Astyanax mexicanus: one gene and its partner. The protein of the gene in region 2 purifies or fractionates together with the protein of the main gene of each other region. This does not show direct contact. Links are inferred from orthologs where the notes say so. Each region holds a gene or a part of one and is shown on either strand. Other genes may lie near its edges. The genes, in order: snx7 and snx4.

What was found.
Region 1: the proteins of snx4 (region 2) and snx7 purify together in Homo sapiens (affinity purification with mass spectrometry; 3 studies listed by BioGRID and IntAct, counting the BioPlex papers as one, with this or other methods). This does not show direct contact. The link is inferred for Astyanax mexicanus from reciprocal best matches to the Homo sapiens genes SNX4 and SNX7.

What each region holds. Positions count from the first base shown.
Region 1 is NC_064413.1:37,368,117-37,381,109, reverse strand, and holds the start of snx7 (sorting nexin-7), read right to left. Parts: upstream 6,111-12,993; 5' UTR 5,979-6,110; coding exon 5,871-5,978; intron 2,685-5,870; coding exon 2,493-2,684; intron 2,393-2,492; coding exon 2,282-2,392; intron 1,741-2,281; coding exon 1,576-1,740; intron 1,025-1,575; coding exon 826-1,024; intron 1-825. UniProt on the Homo sapiens protein: Involved in the regulation of endocytosis and in several stages of intracellular trafficking. Together with SNX4, involved in autophagosome assembly by regulating trafficking and recycling of phospholipid scramblase ATG9A.
Region 2 is NC_064418.1:37,870,102-37,883,196, forward strand, and holds the start of snx4 (sorting nexin-4), read right to left. Parts: upstream 4,657-13,095; 5' UTR 4,622-4,656; coding exon 4,532-4,621; intron 3,747-4,531; coding exon 3,622-3,746; intron 1-3,621. Other genes in the region: tgfbr2l (TGF-beta receptor type-2), read left to right, coding at 6,267-6,321. UniProt on the Homo sapiens protein: Involved in the regulation of endocytosis and in several stages of intracellular trafficking. Plays a role in recycling endocytosed transferrin receptor and prevent its degradation.

The DNA of each region.
Region 1 (12,993 bases), on a different chromosome or scaffold from region 2:
TTGAATCAAATCAGGTTTAGGTCCAAAATTAATCAATACTACAATACAACAGCCCATAATAATGAGGAGTTTGAAAATAGGACTAGAAAGCCCTCCTCCATGTGATAGAGGATGTTCTTACTTGCTGATGGGAATACAAGGTAAACAATTTGAGGGTGATATACACAAACTAAAAATCATACACATGCTTAAAGGAGAAATCTGATGTCAAATTAATTTTTGGTGTAATGAAACATGATGACGAGTACAGGGCTATTTTACCATCATTAAAAAGCTTAAAATATCTTCACACTACATATTGGTAGCTTTCAGAAGGCCATGACATTTAAATCGAGGAAAAAACAGAGTGTGTTTTTCTTTTATTCTGATTGTGAGAGGCAGAATTGAGAAAGTATGAAATTTTAAAAAGTAGGGGGAAAAAACAGTTCTTGACTATGCCAAACAGACAAACTGAAATAAAGTTTTCCACACAATATTTTATTTTCAGATTTTGCCTCAACTGGTAAAAAAATGATAAATGATACACTCTTTAATATGACTGGTATATAACAACTCAAGTTGTCTGTAACTTTGGCAGTGCCAGGAAGTATTTAAAATATATATTTTAAAGAAGAAATCCAGTGTGTAATTGGCTTGGATGTATAAACAGTCCTTTTTAATAAACTAATAAAATTCACTACACTGAGGTGCAAACCTGCAAAAATATGATTTGTATGTGTTATGAGTATGTGTTTCTTTTTATTAAAATATTTCTAAAAAAATAATACAGATATTTGTATATTTTAATATCAGTCTCATTCTTATAATGGTAGATTTAAAACATACCTTTTTTTTCTCTGATGATCCTTTGGGTGATTTTGTCCAGTGAGGTCATTTTCTGACTGAATGACTCCACATAGTCCTGAATGGCATTGAACTCCTCTGGCCGGTTTCTGACACCTCTGACTGATGCAGCAACTGCTCGTACCGTATCTCCCATTCTGCTCAACAAACCAGGTCCTTGTTTCTTGTGAGAGGCCAGCTCCTGTAGATGACAGGAGCAGGATGGAAACACTGACAGTATCATCATTGCATTCCAGTGCAGGAAAAAGAAAGAATTTCTTATTACACGAAATAGCGTTTTGACTTTCAGCAACAGATATTCATGGGTTATATCAAACTGTGATGGAATCATGCAGGTTTTCACATTATAGTCTTAACACATCCCTCAGTGCACCTCCTGCAGTCAAAGCCTGATCCTAAGAGAGGAACTGCAAGAGTGCATAGGTGAACATGAATAGGAAAAAGGTGCATATGTTGAAGAAATAATCAGATTAGGATTGACAGGATGTTTATATTGCACTTGTATTGAGTTTCTGAAATGTATAAGTATATAAAATGAAAATATCTGCTATATATCTTGTAACAGAGCTGGTTTATTAAACCCTGACCAGCCCATCTCTAACGTGTAAAATCATATCATCTGTTTTGGTTCTGTCTGAAAACCCACTACTGAGCAGGCATGGCTCCAGGGGTTTGCGACTGTAACTGTGTGTGTTGTGTGTGTGTTCGTGTGTGTGTGTGTTTGTGCTTTACCCAGGCTTGTGCTGTGAGAAATATCTTGAAATCCTCACTGCAGGAGAGAATAGGATGCTCAGCTATTCTGTTGAGAAACTTGTGCAGCGCTCTCTTTCTGGTCTCAATGAAGTCGTTATTGAATCTCTCCACCATTCCCTTCATCACAAACTTCTCTGGCAGTGGCTGAAGCAGCACAAACAAGCCATTGTTCAGCATGACAGCAGAGAACAAAGGACATAACAAGGTTAGATTGAGTCGAAGCCTTGTATTTTTTGTTCAATGTTCAGTGTTACCCTTTTCCGATTAAATCCCTTTTTTTCTGTTTCTAAATACAAATTAATATGAATTTACATACAATAGATTAAGGAATATTTTTGTATTGTTTAGCAGGTGATGATAGTTCATTTGACCTGACTTCTTTTGATTCGATCAAATGAAAATATCATATATATTAATAAACATGAAAAAAGTTACAAATATTTAACCATCTCATGTAAAGTTCCTGTTTTGGAAATATGTTTTTAATATATTGTTTTTTGAAAGTGACAGTATATAAAGCACATAAAAAACAAGTTCTATTTAAATAGAACTTAGCACCTCTTAAATCAGTTAAATCACATTTTAACATATCTAGATAGAAGCCTGAAATGCGAATACATACATACAATGGCTGCATTTGCAAATGAGAGGAAAGATTGCATGCCTTCATCTCTAGATCACTTACATGAACAATAAGCGTGGGATGAGCCTCCTCCAGCTTGCTTTTTAACCAAAAGAAGTCTTGGTAGCGCCTGCGGACTTCATACTCACTGGAGTCAAACTCACTACGGGTGGTCTAATATCAGAGAGAGAAAAACATTTTAAGCATTTAGATGGTAAATGAAGTTGAATCCTTTTTTCAAGCACTAATCTGCAGAGTGTGGTTTGTGATGTACCTTGGTCAAAACCCTGTATGTAATAAAAGTCTCAATGGCAGTCACATGGCTTTCAGGGTTATCGACTGTGACGAAAATGTCTTTAGTGTCAGGCTGCTCTTCCTCCTCCTCAAACTTGTACTGATTGACCATTGAGCCAGGGGAGGTTTGCATGGAGGCATTCAAAGAGCCTCCGTCCGTGAAGGTTGAATCCTACAACAAGACAAGAAAAACAGACAAAATTGGGTTTGAGAGACAAAACTGGGCTCTAAAAAAATCACTCTATAGCTCACATGGACATCAGAACACTGACATTGATTTTACATTGCAGCATTTGTACTCTTCCTGCACTTATTAACTAAGTGACAAGCTATTACTATTTTGGATTTGGTCATAAGCTGTGCATCTCTTTATTGCAGAACACTTCTTAATTAAGCATTTATTGCGCTCTTTGACTGCAAAAGCAGTTTGTGAAGACTCAGTCAAAAAATTAAAATCATTCATGCTGTAGTAGTGCCAGTGTGTTTTGTCTGTGTATCCTGATCAGAGTTTCCCAGCAAAGCCTACTGCCTTATCACCATTCAATCAGAGACTCATGCAAATATTTCTCATTTTATCCAAACTCTCAGATAGATAGGTCAGATCTGTGAGGAAAAGCAGAGGCCTGCATAGTAGGGGTGGGAATCGTTTACTATCTCACGATTCGATTCGATTCCGATTTTGGGGGCCACGATTCGATTCAAAATCGATTTTTGATTCAAAACGATTTGAATTATAAAAATTTCTGCTTCTGGCTTATGAATCTTATTGAAAAAAAACCCTCCATAATATACACTGGTCCTGGAGCAGGTAATGTGTTACAAAAACAATAAAATGTGCAGGAATGTGGGTCCTCAGTGACAGAGGAATCACTGGGATATCACAATGACGTTAATGAACAATAAATAAATAATAAATAACACTGCTTTATTACCAGGCTACTAGCGGTGGTGTGTAGGTGACGCTGCTGGGCTGATGTGATGATAGCAGTGGAGCGCTAAAGTTCAGGAGCAGCTGCTGATTAACTAGTTAATTTAAGGTCGTTGTATTTCTTCAGAAAGGGGGCAGGAGGTGGAGAAATTAATTCATATGGTCCATTCCTTAATTCCTCTGTGATGAGGAGCTGAAATTAGCTCTGATTAGCTTATTGTATTTTTCCGTTCCGCCTTAAATGCTGCAGCCCGCTGCCACCTGTAGCGTTATTTAAGGTGGAACTGGAAAGTTAGCTAGTTAGCTAGCTAACAGTTACTGAAACTAACTACTAGCGATCTTTTTTATGCTTGTTATGAAGCATTCTGCCATAAAACATTGAAACTACACGTTAATCTAATGTAATATAGTGCTTGTTCTGCCATCTTACCGGTGATTCTCAAACACCTACGCTCTGTGTGTGTCTGGAAGATCTCCGTTTGAAAGGACAAGCGCTATCCCCAGGGTTGCCAGGTCCAACAAAAATACCCAGCCCAAAATCAGTCTAAAACCCGCCCCTCAGAATCGATTTTGGGACATTTTAAATCGATTCTGAATCGTAGTAAATGAGAATCAAGATTCTTATGTGAATCGATTTTTTGGCACACCTCTACTGCATAGCCTCACTGCTCCTCCTATCATGGAAGCTTCCTGTCAAAACAAACTCCACTGCTGTCAGCAGATTTCAGGAGGTCCTAAAACAAGGAATTATTAAACAAACTGCTCAGCAATGTCCAAGGTTTTCTGAAGGTTAGGAGAAAACACTCCTCCCCCCAAAAAAAGATAAATAAAATACCAAAAAAATTTAGGTTACCTAACCTTGCATTTTGCATGTTACAATAATAACCTATTTAGCAAATGTTACTCTTAAATATTACTCTAAAATGTAACTCTTCTAAACATTTGCCAGCATTAGGAAAAACATTGTTACAACAATTATATTAATGAAATATTCTAAAAGCATTAAGGTCCCTGACCCTGACAAATGAATGTTAAAGGAGCACTCTAAACATGTTAAACATTACACAAACGTTCTGAAAACAAAATTCAGTTATCTAGGTCAGCTATGTCACTGTAACACTTATCAGATTTATTTTCTGACCTTTCGAGGCTACATTTGAAAATAAAATATTGAGGGTAACATTTATTATTTATTTTTTTATGTTTGACATAACAAAGAAGAAAAATATATATATTTTTTCCATTTTTCAAGTTTCCAAATTCTGCACCCTCACAGTCTGAAATATTGAAAAACATTTTTTTCATTTTTGCACTTTGTAACAAAAATATGATGTTTTAAACCTAGCTACATACATTTGTTCCAAGATAAGTAACGTTAAATGGAAAACAGAACAAAATCATATTACAGAGTTTACTTTTTTTGTGTTGGGCAGAAATGAAAAATGGATGAAAAACAGTTTTTGACTATGCCAAATTGACAAAATCATATAATTAAGTTGTACACACAATATTTTATTTCAATATTTTGCCTCAAATTGATCATTCCTAAGCTATAAAAATGGAACTGACCTAAGCTAGCTAGCTTAGCTAACTAACTTACTAGCTTAGGTTAATCTTTTATTTGATTGGGCTGAAATGCTAATGGCTAATAGCAACAGAAATAACACTCATATCTAGCTGTGACCGGTCTGTAACCCTAGCAACGCTGGGACGTATTTATATATAGTTAGGTAGCAGCTATTTTAATCCGGTTACAGAGACTTAAATCATTACTACACTCCCTCATAGCTAACGTTAACTAGGTTAACTAACGCTGAGTGAGACAGGTTAGGGTAATTGACAGGTTAAGTCAGCATTTCTTGTGTTTCAGACACAGATAAACGGTGTAGAGAATTAGCTAAAGCTGTAAGTTAGTTAGGGTTTGGTATAATAACAATAACCTCAGCTGATTTCTGACCTTTGGACCCCAACACTAAACGTAAACACGGAAAACAACGCGGCGGCGACAAACATTAACAATGATAATAAGGTATTTTCCTTTATTTTTTATTATCTAAACTGTGTATTAGTATTAGATAGCATGTATTTGTTTGTATAGAGAGAGCTCTCATTTGTTATAGTTAGGCTACAGACTGAACTGACTGGATGCTGGGAGTGTCCACTTTTGCACACTCACTCCAACTAACTTAGTTTGAGCTTAGTTTGAAGTTAGATAGAATTAGCTAAGCTAGCTCAAACTCAACCGCTTCAAACACAATTTTACACAATTCAGTTTATCTGCTATAACGTTATATAAGTTACACATACACATGAACACACAGACAGACAGACCACGTAGCGGCAGCCATCATCACACTATTTATCTCTGTGGTCTCAGTGAGGCTAGCTCCTCTCCTGCTCCACAAGCTCTGAGACAGCGAGTTTTTTTACCTTACAGAAAACCTCAAAATCCTCGTCCTCGTCCAGTATTTGTCCTGAGAGTTCATCCGGGACTGCAGCAGTGGGACTGCCGCTGTCGACCACCGTCCCGCTCATCATGGCTCAAATCTCTCCTTTCTCTCAGATCAGCAGATCACTTCACTGATCATGATGCAAACTTTTCCGCCAGAGTGAAACTCTGAAACTCGGGCTGGCAGGCAGGCAGGCAGGCGGGCAGACAGGCAGGGGCAGCAGAGTGCGCAGAATCGGAAATACCATTTCAGGAAAGAAGAGCTGAATCTGCAGTGGAGAGGAAGGCCTGGCTGAGTGAGTAGATAGATAGAGCTATACACACAGAGAGAGAGAAAAAGTTCAGGTGGACAAACTGGAAAAGTAGCCCGGCCTGCTGGGGTAGACCCGGGTTCGCCCTGTGTGTTTCTAATAAAAATAACTAGTTAGTAAACCCACATTCACATAATGCACCGTCCGTAGCCTGTTGTTGATACTTCAGTTGAAAGCTTTCCAAAACATTCTAGAGCTTAAGGAAAATTAAACCCACTAAACAAAAACATGCTCCCTTCACTGTAGAACAACAGTGAGAGGTAACTTAGTAGTACAGAGTACAGTAAATGCAGCACAGCAATCACCAACATTCTACAGCTCTGAAAAAAAGAAAGCACTTAAATATTATGAGTTTCTTTGATTTTACCAAATAAAAAAAATGGATGATCCCAAAAGATGGATGATCACAAGCCATCAAACCAAGCTGAACTGCTTACATTTTTGCACCAGGAGCGTCATAAAGTTACCCAAAATCAGTGTGTAAGACCGGTGGAGGAGAACAAGCCAAGATGCATGAAAATTATGATTAAAAACCATTGTTGTTCCACCAAATATTGATTTCTAAACCATTCTGAACCAAAACTTTATGATTATGAACTTGTTTTCTTTGCATTATTTGAGGTCTAAAAGCTCTGCATCATTTTGATATTTCTGCCATTTCTTATTGTCTGCAAATAAATGCTCTAAATGACAATATTTTTATTTGGAATTTGGGAGAAACTTTGTCCGTAGTTTATAGAATAAACAACAATGTCAGTTTTATTTAAACATATACCAAAAAAGAGCAAAATCAAATAAACTAATTCAGAGACTGAAGTGGTCTCTTATTTTTTTCCAGAGCTGTATGTTTAAACTACATGTCAATGACAAAAGTGATAATACAAAAATTACTATAGAGTAAAAGTACCCGAATAAAAACATGTAAAAGTAGTATTTTTGTATAAACATGAAAAAAAGGTGCAGAAAAACTGATCTTAAATGAAAACCTACGCAGAATGAAACATATGTAAAATGTTTAAAATATATTAAGTACATTTGAAAAAAATGGCCTAAAATGTATTTGCTTTCCTGGGGAGAGCCAGAAAGATTCATCACATTTTGTTGGTCTTTACGACTGCACTCGAGGATACTTCCAAAGTTCTTGACTTTTATTTCTTAAAGTAGTTTTTTTCTTTACTTTGTAGAGTAGTTCTTGCTATAATATGGATTAAAACGTTATTCAACAGTATTCACTGTTAACCAGCTCTACCTCTTCACAACTTTACAACTGATGCTCAAACACATTAAGAGGCAAGAAATTCAAGTAATTAACTCTTGACAAGGCACAGCTGTTAATTGAAAGCCACAACAGGTGACTCAGCCTCATAAAGCTGACTGAGAAAATTCCAAGATCTGCAAAGCTGTTATCTCAGCAATGGGTGTCTACTTTGAAGTATCTACATTATTAGAATATAACCAGAATATAACCATATTCTGTTTTGTTTAGCACTTTTTAATTACTAAATTACTCCATATGTTTTTCTGCATGACCTGCAGAACTTTTGAAAATAATGGGAAACACTAAATTTTGACTGGTACTGTACATATTAGTAACTTGTCAAAACTGGTTTAATGTGTAAAATCAAGAGCTCTACTTACAACAACAGCACAAATTATATCACCAAAATATACGTGAAGGTAAAACCTAAATGTCTTAGAAAGAAAACTTTATCAGAGTTTAAGTATTTAAATGTAGAATGCTCATTTATAAACAGGTGGAAAAGTACAGAGAGCCTAATGGAAATTGAGCTGCATATAAAAAATCATACTCCGTTAAAAGTGGAAGTATGGAGCCAAACAGCATCTATATTTCAAAATCATGAAAACGTAACTAATTTAAAATGTAACATAATGAGTCACAATATGCTTTCCTGTGCTGTGGAGGTGTGTGTTGCGAAGGCTAATGGACTTCTGGAAGTTATGGGCAGTTTCATTTACATTGACATAAAGTTGATTGTATTTTTAATTGAAATGAAAAAGGTTTAGAGAAGTAAGAAACTTTCATGACCTTTAGGAATGTAAATGAGGTCTAAATGAATGTATCCCTTTTGGAAATATAATTGAGTTAGAGTTCAAGTAATTTGAATGAGGTCTGCGCAATATATTGTTTTAGCATCACCATTACAACGTGTATATTTTCAGTAGTCACATTGCTAGATGTATAATGTTACATGAGGTTTTGTTAGCCTATATGTCAAAAGTTTTTTGCTGTTTGATGCAAAAGGGAAATTCTCAATGTTCTCTTATTTTCCATGATATATTATACTATATCTGTTCAGTGTTGTATATTTTACTCCATTGTTTTAAAAAAATGGATTGAATCTTTAATATTATCACGTGTTGGATTGCTGACTTCTGGTGAAAAATACAATGTGTATAGAGGGCTGGGCAAGTAATTAAAAATCAATCACAATTTACATTCACAAACTGTAATTGACGCAGTCTTTCCCTTATCGTTAATTTTTATTTTCCTTTAATTCTGTAATATTTTTCACATTGTGTGTGGGCATGTACTGTCTTGTCAAACATAAAGCCATATTTGTATTTACATAACTACTCCCTATCCAGTGTATAACAAGGAAGCAATGTGGAGGAGAACTCAAACCCTGATTCAACTGAGCAGCTTAAGCAGCTTGTACCAAAATAAATTGCTGTACACTTGTACATTAAAGTACATTAACTATTTTTTCATTAATCATGATTAATATCAAATGTGAAAATAATTGTCATACTTTTTCCAATATTATGCAGCCTTTATTTTATTAGCTTCAAAGAAGTGCAACTCTTTTAAAGACAGAAACAAAGAACAATTAACTATGTAGAGTACAGATCCACTAAATGTTGAATTTATAATATTGAGTTGATTTGTCTTTATAATAAAGTCTGCTTTGATGGAAACTGCCTTATATCCTGTAAACAATTTTATTTACTAGTGCATCTAAAAAAATAGAATATCAATGAAAAGTTGCTTTATTTCAGGAATTCAGTTCAAAATGCAAAACTCATATTATATGGATGTATTAATACAGAGTGATCTATTTTAAGCATTTGTTTATTTTATCGTTGATCCTTATGGCTTACAGCCATTGAAACCCCAAAAATGAGGGTCTCAGAAAATTTGAATATTATATATTATAAGACCAATTGGTACTTTTGGCAGTGTGGGCAGTGTGTCAAGTCCTGCTGGAAAATGAAATCTGCGTTTCCATAAATGTTGTGAGCAGAGGGAAGCATGAAGTGCTGTAAGATTTTCCAGGAAAACACTGCACTGACTTTGGACTTGATATAACACCGTGGACCAACACCAGCAGCATTTCATTTGAAAATCAAGAGACCAGAGTCTGGAGGAAGAGTGGAGAGACACACAATCCAAACTGCTTAGGGTCTAGTGTGAAGTTTCCTCAATCAGTGATGGTTCAAATTTTGGGGTTTCTTTGGCTGTAAGACATAATCACCAACAATAAAAGACATGAATGATTAGATAGATCATTCTGTGTGTAATACATCTGTATACTATACACGTTTCACATTTTGAACTGAATTACTGAAATAAAGCAACTTTTCACTGATATTCTACTTTTTTTTTTTTTTTGCCGCACTAGTATATTACTTTTAACCTCATATTTACATGAGGTCTGTTACCTGTTTTGGTCATGCAGTTGATCTGCATCACCAAAAGATGTCACTGTAGCACAGCCAACTGCACAGCAGAGCCATCTGGCATGAAAAGTTTTCATGTGGCAGGTCTGTGTGTCTGTCTGGTTTTGTCTAGTGGTCTGTGCATGTCTGTGTTTTTGTATAAGTTTCTCGATGTAGCTTCATAATGAAACTCATGGCATTAGATACAGAAAACAATGTATTAAGAGTGAGAGAAGTGGTGCTTGGTTCTGCTTAAAGTTTGATCAAAGCTGGGAATGATACCTGTTCAGATTTATGTGAAGGCATGTATAGACTATGTACAATCATCAGTCAATGAATTCAGTAATCTGTTCAATTAGTTGTAATTGATGATGCTGTAATGAGTTAGAGCAAATCCAGGTTTCTATATGAATGAAGAAGACCTAAATTAAGATGTTATCTGGGAAGTTCTGAAGTAGCGACTGTAGTGTTTAATAGATCTATCTCATTGGTCTTTATCACAGTGACTTGAATGAATGTAGAGGGAAGGCAATCAGAGGTACTCTAATTAGAAAGTGTGGTGTAATATCTTGCTGGTACACACTGTTGATACCTGCAGAAGCTCCAACAAATAAGAAGTCCTTGGAATGATGCCACAACCATACAGATTGTGTAACCTTTTGCACAAAGCGTGAGTAGCATATCCTTCAACAATTCAGATTAGGCAGTATTAGAATAATTCTACAAAGGTCAGTCCTTTACTGTGCTCAACCCAGACTGGTAGAGCACCGAATGCAGAAAAGGTCACAGGCGCCACAATCGTATTGTCTTGCTGCCGTTTGATATCGTTTGTCTGTGAGATTGATATAAACCTGATGTTAGGATCACTTTTTCCCTGTATTTTTCTCCTTTTCCTCTCTTTTTTGTTTTATGTCGACCATCTGAGTGCAGCACTTCAGATATGTGTTCTTGATGATGGTTTTAAAGTGAGAGCTCAATGTGCTGGGCTTTGATGGAGTGCCAGCATTAGTGAGAGCCGTTCAATACAGGGCATTAATTGCTCCTTAATTGTACAAAATGTGAGTGATAAATGGCACCTCAGAAAAGGCAAAGTCTGCTTTTAAAAAGAGGTCTGGAACAGCTTACTCTCTGATAGTCTCTAAACCTGATTGGGATCTTGTTACTTGTTCTTCATGCATCTTAGAAGTCGAGATGTCACTTCCAGCACCTTTGAATGATGGGACACATGGTTCTAAACCCAAAGCAATTGCTCAAAACCCAAACATCTGTCAGTAAAAGTCTAAGCCCATAGTTATATTACCCTGCTTAACAAATTAAACAGCTTTTCTCTTTATCAAGCAGGTTTGGAGTTAGTGTTTTTCACATGATTTTCATGTTACATGTCAGAGATGTGATGCATAAAATAATGCAAAAAAACAAAAAAATTAACATTGAGGTTGAACAAGGATTTGTAGCCAGCATTGTATTTTACATCTCCACTTCTGACTCCTCTAATTCATGATGTTGGTTTGCAGTTGGGGTATAGAGGGACTAGTGGCAATGGGGCAGAAGCAAAGTCATGGCCCTAACCTCCAGAGATTCAAAGCAGCTCTAGCTGTAGCAGGCTGGCACCCAACACCGATCCAATGGCATCATCCCAAATCTGCCCCGGCGAAAATCCACACAGCACTGTTCCTCCATCAGTGGTGGTTAATAATTAGATCAGCATTATGCCACAACAATGGCTTACATAGATCAGCTCCTTTCAAATTGCATTTCCTTCCTGTCAGGGCCATTAGAGTGGCCGAGCAGACCGTCTTTCGAAAATCCCTTATTGCTGCTGTTTCAGAGCGCAGACTCTGGCTAGAGGAGGCATTTCAGACAATTATGTCTAAATACCCCCAAATATCCCCAAATATCCCTGAAACGTGGAATCTGTGCGATTTGGTGCAACAAATAGCTGGCAGGTCTTCACCATCTTGTGTAGTGGGGTGTTTTTATACCCTGCATCAAGCGCGTAAAACAGCAAATGAAGATGATTCCGAGCCACCTGGAGTGAGTGCAGAAGTGAACAATTAAAAATCAATTTGCTGTCAAAAAGCTTTGCTTTCTAATTAAAACCACATGCAGACTAGCATCTCTCACCACTGGCGGATGCGCAGTTGCAAAGCACACATTTATTTATTTCCTTTCCCCCCAGACGTGTGCTCTGGTTATTATCTCTCTTTTTTTTACGATTTTTCATCCTTTTTGCTCCTGGAGATTTCCTGAATTCAGATGGGAACCATTACATAGGATTTCATATGGATGCAATCATGCACCTAAATGCATTTTAAATGTGACTGCTGCTGAATTCCTACCAGGTGTCCAATCCAACAACTGTGGCTTGATTATAACCATCATTAGAAGCTTGTACACGTCATATTAATGATCACTCATTACACCATGCTTCTGCTGCTTTCTGCTTTCCTTTTTTTGTTCCGTTACCAAGCTACTAGTACCTACTTCTGACCTGCTTTCTCTTCATTTTTGAAGGAACGCTGTACCACATCTTGTACAAAGACCTGGCATCTGCCATCAGTTAGCCTGCTTCGGCCATTATGTGTTACAATGGCTTCTGAAGAAGGTCTAAAGGTTGGCTAATAACCAAGCCTCTCCTCAAGTCATCTGCTCGCTGGCACTAATGGGCAAATATGGGCCTGAACTAGTGATGAAAGATCTGCTCTCATTCTGCTCTCATGCATGCATGAAAAAAGAATATCGGAAATCTCTAATTGAGTTCTGAGAAATTCACAATTTTTCTACACACTAAAGAAAGAATTCCCGCCTTAGGTTAAGAGGAAGCAGTGATTCATAGCATTTAAAGCAATCAAGGCCGGATGCAGAAATTTCAGCTTTCAGGGAGACGTATTCAGACATACTGTTTTTCAACTCACAGTGCTGACATTTTTCAAATGTCCATGTCCTTTTTTCAAAAACGCAGCACTTTGTGTCCTTTTTTATTACTGCAATGCTGTGTGTGGCTCAACATATTGTGTTGTGCCTTTTTTCTCTCTCTTGTTTCTATGCAGACCCAGCCACTACAAGAGTCCTACTACAAGACTGTACAGCGGTCTTAATGACACTGACAGCAGTG
Region 2 (13,095 bases):
TACCGACGCTAATAGCTCCACAGTGCTAATGAGGACTTGAATATAGTGGAAACCAGTTAGGATAAACCGCATGAATGAGGTACTGTTATTACTTTTCTAAAATAAGATGTAATAAAACCATTTTGACAGCGTAATGTTTTCCTTAAGGGAAACACTGACTTGATGTTATCAGCTGAGATCCAACCTCAACCTCACGGTTGAGCACCAAGTTCTCTCACTGTGTACCACAAACTCCAGCAGCTGAAGACAAAAAGTAAGCAACCAAATGTAGAATGCAGGGTAGTGGATGTACCAAGCCTAAAATATACTTCTACATATACAGAGATATTGAGAATCTTTCAACAGGGAAATGCGAGATTGCTCAATGGTTTAACCCCACGTCCAAACTAAACAGAGCAAGCGAAGACAAAAACAGAAATCCGCAAAGTTTTAGACGGCTAAGATGTCGTCCACAAAGGCAGACATCTTAAGTGCCTGTTCAAACACATGCCAGAAATTGAACTGTGACGTGTAATCTCAGTGAATCCCCAGTGCCTGGAACCACAAGTGCTTCTAATTTAGGGGCTAAGTACACAAGTATAAAGCAGAGAAAGCAGGGATGGGGGAGGAATGTTACTATATCGTTTCACTACTCTGCACAGTCTTATACTTAATGAGAAGCACGTAGCCTACTTATTATGCAATAATGCACTTGGCATAAGCACAAAGTAGAGAGAGGGGAGAGAAGTTGAGAGAGAGAGAGTAAGAGAGAAGGAGAGAAAAAAAAAAGAGGGGGACAGAGAGATGATGGAGCCCACGAAACAAGAGCCCAGGATCCAGAGGACTCAGGGGAGGAAATGAGAGCACATAATGGGGCTCTATGCTGAAAACCCACACCACAAAGGCAGAGGCTCCACACTTGCTGGGGGGCATTCTCCATCCCAACTGCGTGACTGCGCTCAAAACCCATTTACCCCAAAACCTCCAAAACCCCTCTCACTCTCTCTCCCTGAGCTGCCTGGGGTAAATACGTACAGGCTGTGTGAGTGAGTGTGTTTATGTATGCCTGTGCGTGTAGCGCACTTTGCACAAACCCTTACAAAAACATGCGTTTCCTTTCATGGGCCAAGCTAACAATATACAGCTCTATATAACTCTATTCAACTCCAAGGCCAAGTTTGAGCTAGGGAGATTTTTTTTTTGTTTCCTGATGCAGCGCAAAGCAGTACTCAATATATTGCTATGTATTGTTGGCAATAACCTGCTGACATGGTTCGTATAGGCCCAGTACAAGAGAAACGATTCAATATACTGTGATGTATTGTCATACTCTGAGCAAGATGATATACTGCACTTTTTATAAGTGAACTTTTCATACATTTATGTGAACCATATGCGCAAGGAACCACTTTGTCAATAAAGAGTTATATTTAAAAAATGCCACTTAAAACTTTACTGAACACAAGAGCATCCTTATGACAACCATGCACAGAAGTGGCGTTAACTACTCTGGGCTCAGAAGCATCTGGGATGGATCATGACACAGTTGAAATATATGTATTGTGGTCAGTCAAAACAGGATTTCAGATTTTTTATTGTTTTTTTGTTTTCTTTAAATGCAGGATGCAGTGAGTTCTAGTCCAGAATGTAACTATCAACAAGTCAACAAGCCAGGGCTTTCGCAGAGCAAAAATGCTGCTTGCAAAACCACATCTTTATCAGGGACATCCATGCATTTTTCTAAAAGACAACGCAAAACCACATGCTGCACAAATTACAAAGACATGGCTGCAAAATAATAAGGTACAAATAATAGACAGGTCTCCCTGCCTGCAGTCCTGCATCCTACAAATGCCTTCCTTAACAGTTCAATTTTCCTGCTGGGTAAAATCTCTCTGCTGTTTCTGCCATGACTGATTGTATTTCAGATGCTGACCTGACTGTATGCGTGCTTAACGCTGACCACAGAACAGCCCTGCTGAAACAAGAGCACACAATTCGGCTCAGCTCGATGTTAGATGGAGTGATAAAAAGGCAAATGTTGTGATGATTATCAATGCGTGTCATGTGACTACGATTCAGGCAAGCATGTGTCTGCAGCTCTGCAGTAAACACGTTACAGAGAGCATATGGCTGCGGGAACTGCTGACTCTGCCAAAATGTCAAAAGTGGTATGTCTTGATTTTTTTCAGCACAAAGCTTTTTGGGCAAAAAAAGAAAGAGAATGTATGATGGGGGTGATAGGGAGAACTCTATCCCACAATCTTTTTTTCTGTACATGCCTGCATCCTGTGGACAGACTTTAGTTTAGGGTCTGTGGAGAAAAAAAAAAAAACTTGGAACAGCTTTCCAGCAATGTGATATGTTTCACACTCTCGCTGAAGGACTAGTGTTGCTTTGCACTGGGCTGTGGTTTCTCTAGTAACCTATAGACCCAATAATGAAGTTGTAATAGTAGAAATCAGAGATGATGTAATGCAAGGTTCTCTATTTTGATTGACAAAGTATGAGCTAAAGTATTTTTACTGATATTAGCCGGGCATTGGACTAGTATCATGTGCCCTGCCCCATGGAAGCTAAAAAAAATTGCACTGACCTGCAGGATATATACGTTATATACTGCATTAAATGTGGATGTGAATTTTGAGTCACTTGTCTCTCTGTACTGACAATTTAAACCAGATGCTGCCAGATGCTACAATCATTGAGTTTTAGGATTCATTTCAGGTACACACATGATACACACAAAACTTTAGAAAGGAACATCCCAACCATCTTTCACTACAATATTTAGGTTGCCTTTCCATATCTCACTTACAATATAACATCTTATAAATACAATGGTCTGGGCGTTCCGAAGTCATCCCCAGGGGTAACACTTCATGATTTGTATAACGAAAGCATGCTCGTTTTCTGTAATTTCTCAAGTTAAAATTATTTTCTCATGGATTATTAGAGGTCTCCTATTCACATCCGCATTTTTGCTACTAAACTATGCTACTAAAATAAACACATACATTCCGGCATTCTTAGTAAGTAACATAAGAAACCTTACTTTACAACTATTTTTGATCAGAAACAGAAATCTCAGAAATATAACATCTAGGAGTAATGCTTAGGCTTGCATTTTGTATCATAAATGACCGGTAATTTGTGTGTGCAGGGTTTGTAACAAAAGTCAATGACCCAGAATGTAGTGATACTAATAATGCACTCCATGCATCTCCATATATCCCAGGACTAAAGAAAAATGAATAATACTGGACAGATATACTCTGTCAGTAGGGTTTAGGTCAGGGGATTGTGGAGGCCGAACACTTTATTTGTTTACTATGTAATTTCAGATGTGTCATTTAATAGTTTTCATGTCTTTAATAATAATCTACAATGCAGAAAATAAATTAAATAAAGAAATAAGGAACAACAGTGAATAAGTAGCTGTGTCCAAACTTTTGACTGTTACTGTATATATTGTACATTCAGTGCCATAATGTAAATATATGTTAATAATATTAAGTTAATATTTACCAGTATTTATTTTGCATCTTTTTAGTATATATTGTGTTTTAACTAGTACAAGAAACGTTTCAATTATGGCCTATGTTTTTTATTCTCACGCTGTTCTGATGTAGTGTGATTTACCTCGTTTCAATGAGATAAACAGTGTAGGTTTCCTGCATGCTGACTGCATTCTTCCCTGTCCTTTTCTCTGCCTCAGCCACATTGATCTCCATCCTCTTCAGAAGAGTCGCCCCCTTCTCCACCATCTGTAGGACACAATCAGAATATGATTAGCATATCTATTTCATATGGAAAGGGGAAGAGAGTAGAAGTACACATTTTACTAGTTTTCTATCCCACTGTGGTTAAAATATAACCACTAGTGAATCTTGTATAGGTGTTAGTGGCAGTGCTGTGACTGTCTCCGGGTCTGTCTTTGTGAGTTTCTCTGGTACAGGACAGATCTGATGACACATCACGAGGTAAACACTCTCTGTACCTAAACACACATAGCTAACCTGCTTTAGTGGCTAACTGAGCTTTATGACGGACATTCTACTGGACAGTTAACTATTTTAGAATTTGTGTAAAGTGGCCTGACACATGATTTAGTGAAACTAAAGAGTGAAAGCCAGATAACTAGCTGTTTCCTGAGCGAACTAGTCAACGAATAGAAAAGTAAAAATTTTCCCAGGCTAGCTAATGTTAGCTAGCTGCGATCAGGGGACGGGTGGATTGAAACTGCTGAGAACCACCGAGTATAGTATAGTAAACTATCTGTACATAATCAGAGGTATCTGAGCATGTTCTGTGTAATGTGAGGTGCTGGTCAGGTGAGCAGTAAGACAGCAGTGCTCACTAGACTCAGACTGGTTCAGACTGTTTAAAGCTCCAGCTGTTGAGGCGGATCAGACCGCCAGCTGTCCGCCCGCCTCCCCTCTCACTCTCCCCCGGCCTCCCTCAGCCCGAACCACCCGCACAGCGCGGGATTAGCCGCAGCCCGAGGAACCGCGTTTCCGCTCAAATCAGAAAATAACAGCGATCAGTTTACCGTGTTTTTAATGTTGTTCTCTAACTCGGAGGGAGTCAGGTCTGTGTTTCCAATCACCGCTATCTCTTCGCTTCCCGTATCCGCCATCATCCTGAACTGTGGTCCGGCTTCTGCGCATGCGCGTTTCTCCCAGTCCCATTTATTTATTTATTTATTTAATTATTTAATTATTTATTTATTTACTGATACTCTGTAATGAAATTTTATATTTATTGAATAAATAATAATTAAAAAAACATTTAATAATTTCAGCAAAAAACACACACGCACGCACACACACACACACAAACCCCCTAATAAGAAATAAAAGAGGGAAAAATGGGTAGATGATTATGATTAATATTACAATGATGAACATTATTGTTTTTTAAATTAAAATACTAAATTATATACCTGCTTGATATTGTATTTAGGTTTATATTTATTTTCTGTAGGCTATTAATTCACATATTCTATTTTAAACAGGGTTGAATTAAATGCAAAATTTATCGCATGTAATTTATAATTTCTAGTCATTTGCATGTTCTGTCCTCTGCGCTAATTATGTAGGGGTTTGTGATAATATTATATAAATAAATGAATAAACAAATAATTGCTTGAAATGAAAAATAAATATTTTAAATGATAAAGAAATAGTAGAAAAATGTTTAAATTATTTAAATTGATTCATTTCATTGTTTAAATGAAAATTATTTTCTGTAATTAAATAAAATGTTTAAATAATTAAATCTCATTTAAAATATGTATTTATAATTTTAAGCAATATTTTTTTGATTTATGTATTCATATAATATTGTCACAAAACAAAATCCATTATGCTGTCGTATCATTGCAAATTTCCCCCCGTGGGAATATTATTGTTAAATTATGATTGTATTTATCTTAGCTTATTCATATAAAATATACAATTATATAATTCATATAAATTAATATAAAATCAGTGTATGTGTTATTAGAAATTATGAATTTCATGTAGCCTAATTTTTATGTGGTGTACATATGCATGTAGTTTCTAAATATTATATTTGTAGGTAAAATAAATGTATAAAAATATAAAAAGATTGTTAAGAAGAGAAGTTAATACTGTAACTTCTGTAAAGATACTCCATCGGCAGGAACAACTATACACATCTTTTGTCTTTTTATTAAATCAGTATCTATGTTTAATTATTATATAATCAATCTCTAATCTATATTATTTCAGACTTCATGTCGGTAAAATGCCGGTACATTCTCCCTCATTCCTGCAGGCTTTGTTTATGTGCACATGCCTCCAGGCCTGTGTTCACTGGGTTCAACGTGTATCTGGTCTGTTTTTATCAGTTAAAACTAAGTTTTAAGAATAACCTATATCTTTGCAAACCTCACTGTACTACTATAAAGTCCTGCTCCTCTAAAGTTTAGCTCTGTATCTCGAGTTGATAAGGCTGCTGAAGAGTGAATAGGCTTTTAAAGGATCTACTACATGAATAAAGTGGAGTTCCTGGGCGGGCCTCCTCACACAGCTGGATTAAAAACATCTGGATCCGCCTACAGGGAAAGGCGAGCCAGAAAGAGCCTTCAGTCCCAGCAGCTCCTGCTCCAGCGCGTAGGACAGAACCGATAGCCGCTCATAGATGTGAAGCTAGCTATCTTTGCTCTGTGGGAGAGAAAGGAGTTAGAAAGGAGAAGTTAGAAGAAAGGAAAGAGTCCAGCAGCTCGGGGAACCTTAAACGGAGATCCGTGGCTCGGGATTATGGGGCGCATGCGCTGCAGCTTCTCGGCTCTAACATCTGTTCTCTTCTCTCTGAGTGAGTAGGAGACTTTAGCCTATCCTTACTGCTGTACAGCCAACTTCACAAAGACTTCACCTAAATATACACCTTCTCTTCAGCAGATATCACTCTTTATAGCTAGTTCTAGTTGTATTTTAAGAGAATGACAGTCTACAGCAGAAGGTGGAAGACAAAGGCTTAATCTTAATACTGTAATCTGTTATCTAGTTTAGCCTCAGAAAGTGGGAGCCCTTTTTCCAAGAGCTAACTTTACCCAAAGAGACATTTCCCTCAGCACAGAGTAAACACCATCAGACTCGGCTTTAAAGGCCATTCATCAACCTGTTTGACTTTAAAAGCACTTAAAAGCTAAAGCAGTTCGTTTTAATGTGTGTTTTAAACTCTATTATATAGACTTTTTTGGTATTGTCTCATGTGTGCATATTCTCTTATTCTATATTTCGTCACCAGGCATATACACTATTTTGCTGCTTGACTGAGTTTAGTGTGCAGTTAGATTTAATGTGTACAAGTTACAGTGTTTTTTTAAAACCCTGAACTCCTTTGTTTCACTGATGATTATTCATTAATAAGCGTCAATACTGTATATCTTAAATCGATTATATTTTCTTAATACTTTATAGTTAACCTTACCCAATGAGATTCCACAGCATAGAGAGTAAACACGATTAGACTTAACTTTACATGTGATTGCTCATGCTGTTTGACTTAGTTTAATGTGCAATTAGATTTAATGTGTGGAAATTACAGTGTTTTTTAAACCCCTAAACTCTCATAGATGATTATTTACTAATAAACGTCAATAGTGTATAGATTAAATCGATTCTATTTTCTTTATACTTTATAATTACCCTTACCCAATTAGAAATTTTCATACTCATTATCATACTCAGCTTAAGATACCATTGTTTACTCTGATTTGACTTAAAAGCACTTATATTATTAAGTATAGTTAATGTTAAGAGAATATAGTGTTTTTCCCGCAAACCCATTTTTCTCAATGAAGATTATTTACTAATAAACTTCAATACTGTTAATATAGTTTAGCTAGATTAATCATGCATACAGAATATTATTTTCTTTATGCTTCTTAATCGACCTTACAAAAAGAGATATTTCCTCAGCATAAAGAACTTTACATGCAGTTGTTTATGCTGTTTGACTTTCACTCTACTATTCCTTTTCTACTACTATCAATTTCTATTGCTAAGTATTGTAAGATAGGAATACACAAATACTATATGTTACAAAAACATAAGTACAGTTTATTATACATGCATATATACAGCACCTTATACTGTAAGTGTTGGGAGTTATATAGTATTACTATAGATCTTTGTTGGTTGGGACAGTTTATGTTTGAGGGCAATGTCCGAGCGGTGTCAGTGTGTTCCACTACTACTGTATGCTTTTATCAGTCAAGCAAAGGAGAAAGTATTGAATGTCTTACATTAGCTTGTGTTTGGGAGTGGCGGTCTTTTCCTTGTCATGTGACAATGCTTGATATACATTATAATAAATCTTTTTCAGCATAGAGAGTAAACAATAAACATGATCAGACTCCGCTTTACATGCCATTGTTTATGATATCTGACTTAAAAGCACTTATTTTAATGTGCAATTATATTTGATGTGTAGAAATTAACGTTGTTTTTGCTTCGGAACCTCTTTGTTTCATTGAAGATTATTTACTAATAAACCTCAGTACAGTAGAGTTATATAGATTAATCAGACATGCAGTATTTCATATGAGATTAACACAGAGATTAACAGGATTCCTCTAAAATACTATTACAGTATTCAGTTTAAAATCTTGTATAATTACTGTAGTTTAGTATCATATTCAACACAATTAATACATATTATTGTAAAATATGATTATAGGAATATTATAAATTATTTAATATTATAAAAGAAATATAGGTTATTATAAAATTATTGTATAGCCCCGTATAATTGTAATGGTTAGCATATCTTACTGCTTTACAGTCAACTTTACAAAAACCTTGCTATTCTATTTCTCAGTAGATATCACTCTTTACAATTTGTTCTAGACACGTTTTTGTAAAATCTGTTAACTGTTATTCTAGTCACAAAGTGGGAGCACTCCTCTCAAAGAGTTACCCAAAGAGACACTTTCCTCAGCATAGAGAGTAAACATTATCAGATTTGGCTTTAAATACTATTATTCATGCTACTTGATTTAAAAGCAATTGGTTTATTGTGCAATTAGACTTAGTGTGTGTAGAGATTACTGTGTTATTGTCACTGAAGTTTTATTTTAATGTGTAGTTATTTGATTTTGTCTCATTGATGGTTAATCACTAATTCAGTACAAGATAGTTTTGAAAGATTAATGAAACAAGCAGTGATTGGTAGGGTGCATCATTTAGATTTAATTTATTTCACATATGCAAGAACTACATAAACTACAAGAATTTGAGCAGTATTTTTATAAAAGTATATATACAGCACTATATACTCTTAGTGTTATACTGAAGTGTTGGGAGCTGTATAGTATTACTATAGATCTTTGTTGGTTGGGACAGTTTATGTTTGAGGGCAATGTCCGAGCGGTGTCAGTGTGTTCCACTACTACTGTATGCTTTTATCAGTCAAGCAAAGGAGAAAGTATTGAATGTCTTATATTAGCTTGTGTTTGGGGGTGGGAGTCTATTCCTTCTCATGTGACAATGGGAATGGACCTCAGGTCATTAAACTGAATATTATATTTAATTCTGCAACTAAATAACTAGTTCTTATTTCATATTAGTTTGTTTTAGTTTGTATTTCTCCTCTACTCCCATAAATTGGGCCTTTTGACCTTCAGCATCTCATCATTTACTGTATATACTGTATATTGGCATGATCAGCAACCACAAATATAAGGGGACTGCAATGATACATTATTAAAGATCTACTGTTTTGTTTCTTGACATAACTGTACAGAAACTGTCTGTTCACAGTATAACTGGAGGTTTCTTTTGGAAAGTGTATGTTCAGGGACGTGCATGTTGTGAAATTAAACCCACCACCCAAATATTATAATTAGAAGCAGGATTTCTGCTGTGCAGATGAAACAAGTCAACAGAGTGTGACCACGCTGCAATGTCACTGTATAATATGCAGTGGAAATTTCCAGCAGGATATCCATCTTGAGGCTCCAAATTATCTTTGTTGCACAGCAGAGGCCCCCTTAAATGGAATGGGTGTGTGAGCGAGCAGTTAGACCCTCAACAACAATTATGAAATATTACCATGTGGGTGGAGAGAAGAAAACCATAACCTCCTCGTCCCCTCACGCCACACTCTCTGACTGTTGTTGGAAATTGCTTCTGTTAAAAATAATTCTGGTGAACTCTGAAAGGGGGCAGAGGGCACGCGTGGAGACGTGGTGCCAGCGCTGATGAATGTGGCCACACAAAGGATTTGCAGAACAAATCTGAAGAGCCTGATGTGCTGTTCTCCTCGCTGCCCTGCCATCACGGTTCCGTACAATGCTGATATTGTCAGGCCTAAAGTGAGGGATATGATGCTGACAGGCCCGGAGCCACCCTGTGGCTGTAAAGACCCGTGATGGCCTGCAGAGAGCGGAGAGTGGAGACACACGCCGTTGTGTTTTCTCTCCTCTGCCTACTTGAGACAAGTCCAGAGAATTGTTCTCTGCAGGCCTCGGCCTTGTCTGCTAACCCAGAGAAGAGAACCACGATGATTAGAAGTTAGATTAGAAGATAAATGGCTATTTATTGTTTGGCATGAGATAACAGGCCCTGCATTGGCAGCTGTGGGAAACCTGTCTCTTCTGTCTCCAAATGAATTTAGGGGGAAGGGATGTGAGTAATGTGGTGATGATGGCACCCTCTCTTTCTGTTAATCTCGCGAAATTAGCTCAGAGCTTCGTCTTTCAGAGCCGCTGTAGAGAACAATGGATTATTGCTGAGAGGGTCTGAAGACATCTGTATGTCACATGCGTGTGAGCGGGCCTCTGAGTGATGTTATGATTATGCTGTTATTAATTTATTCAGGAAATGCTTTCAAGGAGCATGCTGAGTTTAAAGGCCAGTAAACGGTGGCCAACATGCCTCCCAGTGGCTGAGTTTGATTACTGCACTTCAAAAAACAAGGTTTCAGTGCAGCCTTTCTTCACTCATGAGGCCTGGACAGAGAAATGAAAGCTGGATTTCTCCATAGCTCGAATTAGTTTATCTTACCAAAAAAAAAATCTTTCAGCTTTTGGATAGGCAAAATCAATTCTGGGGTAAAGTTATCTTGCTAAACTGAGAAATCCTGTTTTGATCATTCTCCTCCTTGTTTAAAGGCCTTTGATTATCTACATCATCCCATCAAGCAAGAAGCATCACGTGGATGTTGTTTTTTGGGCTACATCTTGTTGGTCTGTCACAGCCTTTATTTTGCCAGGAAATACCCTTTAAATATTGGTTATTGTTAACTCCAGCTGAATTGGTTCACATTTAGTCCAAGATATATGTTTTTCCAGCCAGCATAGCATTAGCTAACCTTAACCTGGCCCATCTCTAAAAGACTGAAAAATACTGCAGATTTCTTACTATCAAATACAACTCCATATCAGAAAAGGGTTGGACAGCATGGAAAGTGCAAAAAAACAGAGTTTTTCTCACATTTCCTTTGACTTTTGTTTGATTGCAGACAGTATGAACCCAAGATATTTAATGTTTTATGTAGTCAACTTAATTTAATTTGTTAAAATACAATTTGTCCATCTATCTATTCATCCATCCAATGAAGTTGAACAGATAAACATGAAAAATATTGCGTTCCTACTGTCTGCAGTCAAATAAAAGTCAAAGCAATAGTAAAAAACTCTGTACTTTTTCTAAATTTGCATTTCTAATACTGTAATCTGTGGTTGTATTATACATTAAACTAAAGCTTGAAAACTAACAGGCCCCTGCTCTTAAGTCTGTATTATTTTTGGCCTCTGTCTTCACTGAAAAGATAAAAACAATGACAATCTCTCTTCAGAAATTGCATCATGCTGCCCTGTGTCATACTGAATGTTCATTTAGTGTGTTAGAATGGGCAGACCTGCTGAATTACAAGTAGAGAATGGAGAAGAGCGCATGCCTGACTGCAAAGCAAATAACTGCAGGCCAACATCTCTGGGCCTCCTGTAAGCATGTGGCCTTTGGATTTCCCATAAGTACAGAGGGGTTGTGCTTCAAACTTGGCCCGAGTGAACACTTCTGGCTTCAATTTATTTCTGGAGAAGTCACTGCTGATTTTAATTACTTTAAAGTTTGGAGAGGGGGCTTTTTTCTGCTTATGCAGCCTTTTAGTCTTCTTTCTTACTCTCTCTCCTCTCTCGTTCTCTCTCTCTTTGTCTCTCTCTCTCAGTGACTTGTATATTTTGATGGTTGGCATCAGCGAACATCTGGAAGTCTTTGTGAAATATCTGTGCAGCTTCTTTTAATGTTTACTTGGTTCTGTTAGATCACCACGCTCTCCGAGTGAAGGAATCCCACCCCCCATCTGCTTTCAATCCACAATTAATAGTGTTGTGATGTGGCAGCGTTAGGATAGCGGAGAGAGGATGCGTGGGAAGGAACGCTGCATACACCCAACATGACCACAGTCACTCACAACCCCCCTCCCTACTCTGCCCCAAAACACACACACTCACACACACACACACACACACACACACACACACTCACTGACAACCAAACTGAATCTGTCCCAAAACACATAATATATACTGTATAACATCCAAATCCACTTAGCTCTCTATAGCCTCCAGATGGGGCACAGCTCTCCCCAAAGGCTCGGCCACAAATTCTGCCTTGATTGCAGTTGTCATTACGAGTTTCACTGCTCCAAACATTTCTCATTACAATCATCATTTTCATTATGATGGTATGATTGCAGAGTAGACAGCAGGACACAATCAAGAGCACGCGTTCAAACAGTTACGTTCTCTCTCTTTTCTTATGAGGATTCTTGTTTCAGAAATAGTAGAAATTAAGCTGCCATTAGAAATGTGTGTGTGGGTGAGTGGGTTGAGCTTGATAGTCTACAATTAGAGGCTGATCTTAAGTAGCATGACCATATTTATATTTTCCAAAAAAAAAGAGGACACTGGGGACACACAGGCATTCATTGTGGTTTGAATGTTGTGATGGGGGACTTAAAATAAGTTGTAGGACTGTAGGAGTGTGTATGTTTGTGTGAGGGAAATTAGAATGTCTAAAATCAACTATATTAATAATTATGTTTTTGAATATTATTATTATATATTCATTTGTTTGCCAAGATGAAAGAAATTATAATATCATATATTCCTATTAAAAAAAAAAACGTTTTTTGTTTTTCATGATTTGTGAGACTGACTTGTGTTTGTTTTCATTTGTGTTAAGACATTTTTTGGCTGAGGACAGCTGGCTATATTGTGAAGCATTTCGTCCAATGGTTAATCTGGATACACAGGGCTTTAAGAGTTGTAGATAGTTAAAACTGTATGAATCTACACATAGATTGTGTGGTGGCTGCAGAAGAAAATGCTACATAAAATTAAAGAGAAATCTCACACTTTACACAATTAAAACTCTAAGTCAGATGCAATTTTCTTATCACTAAAAGAAGAATTGTCTGGGAAAAAGAGGGTGTATGTTTACCCTATCTTAAGTAGATAGAGTGATAAACTTCATTGTACTTTAATTAAACATCTGATTAGCTTTTTTTTTATCCTAACATTTTCCCAAAGTAAAGTCATACTCTAGCAAGCAGTGGGTGACAGTACAGAAACCAATT